Linked DNA regions of Saccharomyces cerevisiae S288C. Changing the gene in region 1 together with any one later gene gives a genetic interaction. Each region holds a gene or a part of one and is shown on either strand. Other genes may lie near its edges.

Evidence for each region.
Region 2: of UNG1 (region 1) and NTG2, changing one suppresses a phenotype caused by changing the other (phenotypic suppression), as found in Saccharomyces cerevisiae (one study listed by BioGRID).

Annotation. Positions count from the first base shown.
Region 1 is NC_001145.3:228,984-232,499, reverse strand, and holds UNG1 (uracil-DNA glycosylase), read left to right. Parts: upstream 1-1,686; coding exon 1,687-2,766; downstream 2,767-3,516. Other genes in the region: YML020W (uncharacterized protein), read right to left, coding at 1-1,351; adenine phosphoribosyltransferase APT1, read right to left, coding at 3,000-3,516. UniProt on the Saccharomyces cerevisiae protein: Excises uracil residues from the DNA which can arise as a result of misincorporation of dUMP residues by DNA polymerase or due to deamination of cytosine. Not involved in strand-directed mismatch repair.
Region 2 is NC_001147.6:247,819-251,419, reverse strand, and holds NTG2 (bifunctional N-glycosylase/AP lyase NTG2), read left to right. Parts: upstream 1-1,885; coding exon 1,886-3,028; downstream 3,029-3,601. Other genes in the region: rRNA-processing protein NOP12, read left to right, coding at 1-153; NGL1 (RNA exonuclease), read right to left, coding at 504-1,595; PEX15 (Pex15p), read right to left, coding at 3,119-3,601. UniProt on the Saccharomyces cerevisiae protein: Bifunctional DNA N-glycosylase with associated apurinic/apyrimidinic (AP) lyase function that catalyzes the first step in base excision repair (BER), the primary repair pathway for the repair of oxidative DNA damage.

The DNA.
Region 1 (3,516 bases):
TCTGGTAAGCACGAACAAACAAAGTTTGATCTGCACCGTAGAATGGACCATTATTGATACCTGCCATGGCCAAGACCGAGATAATTTTTTTGGACGAACAAAACTGAATTTCATCGTTGAAAAATTGAGAATTATCAAGGTTTATTATGCCGTTTTTGATCAGCTTCGCTAAAAGCATAATGGTTACCGGACACCCCTGCGAATGGCTAACAAAATAAATAAAATCAGAATTGTTTATTTCTTTGCTCCAATGCTTCATAACTTCGTAGAAGAAATCTACTCTATCAAATATCTCTCCTTCTCTTTCAAGAGCGATCTTGCTTATTTCAATGGGTACTTTATGTTGATCAAAATATTCCTTCACTATTTCCTCAGCTTCTGTGACAAACTTGGTAGATGTACCCGTTGGCTCACCAATAAACGGTCTAATAATTTTTGTTGGAAAGAACCCATGAACGCCGACAATGAGAACTCTGATGGGCCTAGATTGGTAATCTGATAGAAGGTTTATTTTTTTCCATGGATCAACCCTAAATAGAGATCCTCTGTTGTGTTCCAACCGCTCCTCATCTTTTGCCTCGTTTGCAACTGTGTTTGTTTCCTCTTTTAACTGATTTTGTGAGTGCTGCACCTGTTCTTCCCCCTCTCGTACCCTTGATGAAGGTCTTCTATCCCAGTATTCAGTCTTCCACTTCCAAATTGTGGATGTGACTGTATTCCATATGGTTTGTTTCGGTAAAATATCGAAACTTGGTACAACAATGTTAGGAAACTGATTGCCTATGTCATCTGTTAATTTCTTAGCAGTTTTGACACCTTTATCTCTGATCAATATAGCATCAGGTTTATAAGGTATGTAAGTGTTGGTTAGAGGAGCCGGATTTAGACTATTTGCTAAACGTGATAAAGTGTTATTATCCGCATCAGTGGGAATGTTATGCGTCGGCTCCGGATCTTTTTTGTTACGGCCCCAAAAGAATGGCCATGCTCGTGGTCTTGTGTTTTTTTCTACTATAGCTGCATTTCTGTCTTTTTTGTCCTTCTCACCCTTCTCGATCCTGGTGGTTTCCTTTAAAATCGTTGTTTGTTGATTATCGTGCAAGCGTGTTCCCTCATTTGAAACATTGTCATTTTCTTGACTGTTGTCTTGGGCGGTTTCCTTTCCTTTATTTTTATTAGATAACTCCGGTTCTTCCTCGTCATTACCTCCCCATATAGACCAGGATTTGGTTGTTCTGTGCTTAGGCTCACTAGGCCCCATACGACCAGACTGAGTATGTACTGAGCGCAGTGAGGTCGTTGAAGATTTCAGACTGCTTTTCGGCGAGGAATGCAATGGAGTCGTGACCATTCTACCTACTGGTACTCTGTATATAAGTCTCTTCCAATTCTTCGTAATGGTGTCTATTTGTAGTGCAAAAGTGCTATCCAAGAGCAGTGATAAGCCCACTATATGTATAAAGCCGAATCTAGTGACTGGTGGGAATAAAAAAGATAGTTTTCGAACTATTCTTATATGAACTTTCCATGGAATTACCTCACGTTGTTCACATTAGTGACTTGTAAAAAGCTTTACATATAAACTCAATATTTTCCCTATTGTCAAAACCTGGAATGTGTCCGCAACGCGTAATTCATCCATAATGATATATATTATCAGAAGCTGTACACAAGCCGTTCACATACATGTGGTGCATGAGAAGATTGCCAACAAATTCAGTTATGACGGTGGCTCGAAAGAGAAAGCAAACTACGATCGAAGACTTCTTTGGTACAAAGAAAAGCACTAATGAGGCGCCCAATAAGAAAGGTAAATCGGGCGCTACTTTCATGACCATAACAAATGGCGCAGCTATCAAGACAGAGACAAAGGCGGTCGCAAAGGAGGCAAACACGGACAAATATCCTGCTAATTCAAATGCAAAAGATGTATATTCGAAGAACTTGAGCAGCAATTTACGTACACTACTGTCGCTGGAGCTAGAAACGATTGATGATTCGTGGTTTCCACATTTAATGGATGAATTTAAAAAGCCATATTTTGTAAAGTTGAAACAGTTTGTCACTAAAGAGCAAGCTGATCATACAGTATTTCCGCCTGCAAAGGATATTTACTCATGGACCAGGCTAACGCCTTTTAATAAAGTTAAAGTCGTGATTATCGGTCAAGATCCCTACCACAACTTTAATCAGGCGCATGGCTTGGCTTTTAGCGTCAAACCCCCTACACCAGCACCACCGTCATTAAAGAACATATATAAGGAACTGAAGCAAGAGTATCCTGATTTTGTTGAAGATAATAAAGTGGGAGATTTAACTCACTGGGCTTCACAAGGGGTTTTATTGCTTAATACCTCGTTAACTGTAAGAGCACATAATGCAAACTCGCATTCTAAGCATGGTTGGGAAACTTTTACAAAAAGGGTAGTTCAGTTGTTGATCCAGGACAGAGAGGCCGACGGTAAGAGTTTAGTATTCCTCTTATGGGGGAACAATGCTATCAAATTAGTAGAGTCTCTGTTGGGATCTACTTCCGTTGGAAGCGGTAGTAAGTACCCTAATATCATGGTGATGAAGTCAGTGCATCCGTCTCCATTAAGTGCAAGTAGAGGATTTTTTGGTACCAACCATTTCAAAATGATAAACGATTGGCTATACAATACCCGCGGAGAGAAAATGATAGACTGGAGTGTTGTTCCTGGAACGTCATTAAGAGAAGTTCAGGAGGCAAATGCTCGCTTAGAGTCAGAATCAAAGGACCCTTGAATATTACTATTGCATATGCAGGTCTCGATTTCCAAACTCTTTAAAAGCATATAATAGATAAAAAACTAAATAGACTACTTTGTGGCACAAAGCAGAAAAGTGGATTGAATATTTTTCAATCTAAAAAGTAAATATTATACAACCAAATTGAGAGAGTAAGGAGAAGTAAGAAAAATAAATTGCTTGAAACCGGCAGAAAGGAAGCTTGAATATGGGTCAGGACGTGAAACATATCATTTTTTCAACGCTTCCTTTTGAGCGTTCAGTAAAGTGAACACTGGAGCATTCAACTTACTCCTGCCTTTCAAGAAATCCAACTCCATAACAAAGTTATATTCCAAAAGGTTGGCTTCGAGTTGTTCAACTAATTCGCCGGCTGCAGCAGCAGAACCACCAGTGGCAATAATGTCATCAACAATGATAACGTTGGAACCTGCTGGAATAGCGTTTTTCTGTATCTCAAAAAGATCAGAACCGTACTCCTTTTCGTACGTAGCCTTAAAACATTCGCCAGGTAGCTTACCTGCCTTCCTGACTGGAACGAAACCAACACCTAGGGCCAAAGCTAAAGTTGGTCCGAACAAGAACCCACGGGATTCCAACCCGACGATATAATCAATTTTAACTTCTGGAAAAGCTTCTTCTAAATGCAGTTTGAAAGCATCGATCAACTTCTGGAAAAGACCTGGGTTCCTGAAAATGGGTAAGAAATCTTCGAAGAGAATGCCTTCACTAGGGAAGTTTGGATAT
Region 2 (3,601 bases), on another chromosome or scaffold:
TTGGGCCAAGAGATAACTATCGAAGGTTTAAGAGCAAAGAAAGGCGAAGGTTCCACCCATCTAAAAAAGAAGAAACAAAGATCCGCTACAGGTAGGGTTACCAAAAGATCGATAGCATTCAAGAAAGCTCAAGCTGAAAAGAGCAAGAAATAGTTTCATTAGTTTTCACACAATATCAATTTTGTTAGAGATACACTGTATATTATTACTAGTTATTTCTTATCTCTTGTAGCTTCCTCTATACATGCTGGCATTTTTTTACATAGTTCTAATAGTATAATATACATATAAAAAAGAAAAATCATGCGTTTTATATATTTCTATAAATACATTCATACCCAAATTATGGAACACGTTCGGAATATTACTTAAAGAATACTGCAATAATGGAAAGAATATTTGAAATGAATAAAAAGTATGATAACAAGGTTATAAGAGAGGTACAAATAAAATAAAACAAGGAATGAAGAAAAAAAGCACAAAAAAGGCAAGATAGTAATGCCTCACAGTATTTTGAATTCTGTTAGTAGAGGTATATGATCACTAGGATGGTTTTCATTGGGTAAACCCAACTGATTAGACGCTAGCAATTCGTCTGATACTTCATTACCGGTTAGGATCTTAGTTAGTAAAAAATCTGAATCATGGTACCATACGTAATCAAAGATGCCCTTCAATTTTCCTGAATAGCACGTATGTACAAAATAATCCTTTGGTATATCGTCATAGACACAACGATCCAAATACGGCCTCATTGGGTTAATAAGATTAAGGTCTCCATGGCTAACTATCTGACCTTGCAGAAAATTAACAACTAGCGAATCTCTTGTAGAATTTAGATCACCAGTGAATAAAATCTTCACCCTTTCTTGGCCTTTTACATCTCCCGGTAGGAGCTGCTTAATGATCTTTGATAACTCTCTCATTATAATCATGCATTGTGTTAGCTTAACTTCGTCATATTTCCAATACAAATGAGTATTTAAAACGACAAAAATAGTACCCGTCTCCTTATGTCTTAGAGATACGAATAAGCATACCTGATTCTTGCCTTTTAAAACATCCAATAAGCTGTCTTCACCAATAACATTGGAAGCACCATCGGTTAATGTTACCTTCTTATTGTATAAGTATTTCAGTTCCCTTTGATTGAAAACATTCAGTAGCTGGTTTAAGTAGATCCCTGATGACGATATAAAGTCAAATTTTGCAAGATTATAGAAAATAGATACACCGTCCATATCTTTAACCGGTTTTTTCCAATACTTTGGGGGTGTCTTGGAAATGAATTTGGACCCATAATTGACATCTACCCCTATGGAATCGTGCCAATAATCTTCATAATCTCTTGCGGTCATTTCTTGGAGACACATAATATCAGCCTTGAAAGTATTCAAAAGTTCTTTCTCCAGCAGTCTGTGCCTATAACTCCAGTTTTTGTATGGCTCTGCAACGTATGTGTATACCTGTGGCCACATATATGACGGTGAGAGCATGTTGTATGTTAATAAAGTGAACCTAGCATCTTTTCGCACATATTTACCGATGTTTTGCTTAGTTGACTGAACAACTGGAATAAACCTTCGAGTAAACATTGTTACTTGTATGAGCAGTAAATCTCTCTCCAATGTTCTTTTTTGCCGTTATCCAGCTTAGTTTGTGTAGATCTCCTTTCTTCTCTAACAGGAACAATTAAACAACTCATGGTTAATTTGTTAGTTTTGTTGCCGAGAAATCAAAATCAGCTGGTGAAGCAGTTATCCTAACTTGGGAATATACATGTAGTAGAAAGGAAGGAAGGCAAGGACCTCTTTAGCATTTTGAATCTGTTGCTTATTGGGAGCACACAAAAAATGTATAAGCACAACGTCTTTCACAGTATATAATGAGAGAGGAAAGTAGGTCTAGGAAGAGAAAGCATATTCCTGTTGATATTGAAGAGGTAGAAGTTCGATCTAAGTATTTCAAAAAGAATGAGAGAACTGTTGAGTTAGTAAAAGAAAATAAAATCAATAAAGATTTGCAAAATTACGGCGGAGTAAATATTGACTGGATCAAGGCACTGAAGCCAATAGAGTATTTTGAATGGATCGAATCAAGGACTTGTGATGATCCGAGAACTTGGGGACGGCCAATAACTAAAGAAGAAATGATTAACGATTCTGGGGCGAAAGTTCCTGAGAGTTTCTTACCCATATATAATCGGGTGAGATTAATGAGGTCCAAGGTTAAAACCCCGGTAGATGCTATGGGATGTAGCATGATTCCTGTTTTAGTTTCTAATAAATGTGGGATACCTAGTGAAAAAGTCGATCCAAAGAATTTCAGGCTTCAATTTCTTATTGGCACTATGCTTTCTGCTCAAACGAGGGACGAAAGGATGGCGCAAGCGGCTTTGAATATCACCGAATACTGCTTAAACACATTAAAAATAGCAGAGGGTATTACGCTAGATGGACTGCTTAAAATTGATGAACCTGTATTAGCAAATCTAATTCGATGCGTTAGCTTCTATACCAGAAAAGCCAATTTCATCAAAAGAACCGCACAATTATTGGTAGACAATTTCGATTCAGATATACCGTATGATATAGAGGGAATTCTCTCGTTACCTGGAGTTGGACCTAAAATGGGATATTTAACACTGCAAAAAGGTTGGGGGCTGATTGCCGGCATATGCGTCGATGTTCATGTCCATAGGCTGTGTAAAATGTGGAATTGGGTAGACCCTATTAAGTGTAAGACTGCCGAGCATACTAGAAAGGAGTTACAGGTTTGGCTACCTCACTCACTGTGGTACGAAATAAACACCGTTTTGGTTGGATTTGGTCAATTGATCTGCATGGCCAGGGGTAAGAGGTGTGATTTATGTCTAGCAAACGATGTCTGCAATGCTCGCAATGAGAAGCTAATCGAATCTTCCAAATTTCATCAATTGGAGGACAAAGAAGACATCGAGAAAGTATATTCGCATTGGTTGGACACGGTTACAAATGGAATTACAACAGAAAGACACAAGAAAAAATAGAACCACCATTCATTGTGGAAAAAGATGAAAAACCATTATGTATGTCATTAAAATAAGTAGGTAGGGTTTTATAAACTATTCAAATATTTCTCATATACTCGCTAGAAGTTTTAGCAACCCTACAATCTGGGGGTATACAGTGTGAAAGGCCGCTGGAACATGTTTGAAAATTGCCATCAATGACTTATATTTTTTCAAACATAAGAGTAGCAGCAGACCTGTGAGCAGAAGTCCGTTTTTGTTCAGCACACTTCTTGTGAAATGATGCTTCAGGACAGCCCAAAATGAACCAGCCAGAACAGTAATATCATTGTTTTTTTTACGGGGCGCCGTTCCAGTACTCTGGAGTCTACTATCAGTAGAGGTGCGTTGATTAAACGCATCCTCAACCTTAACCTGTTCTTCACTACTATTGTGTAACATAGGCTCGTGAAAATGGTGTATTTTCTGTTTCACTCCTCTTTGTTTACCTTTAGACTTCGCCTTATCTTTTTGTATTTTATTATCTATTGAGTTCAGAATAGCATCCTCTATGGAAACATCTTTAGATAAGTAAAGGCCCTTTAGGGTTGG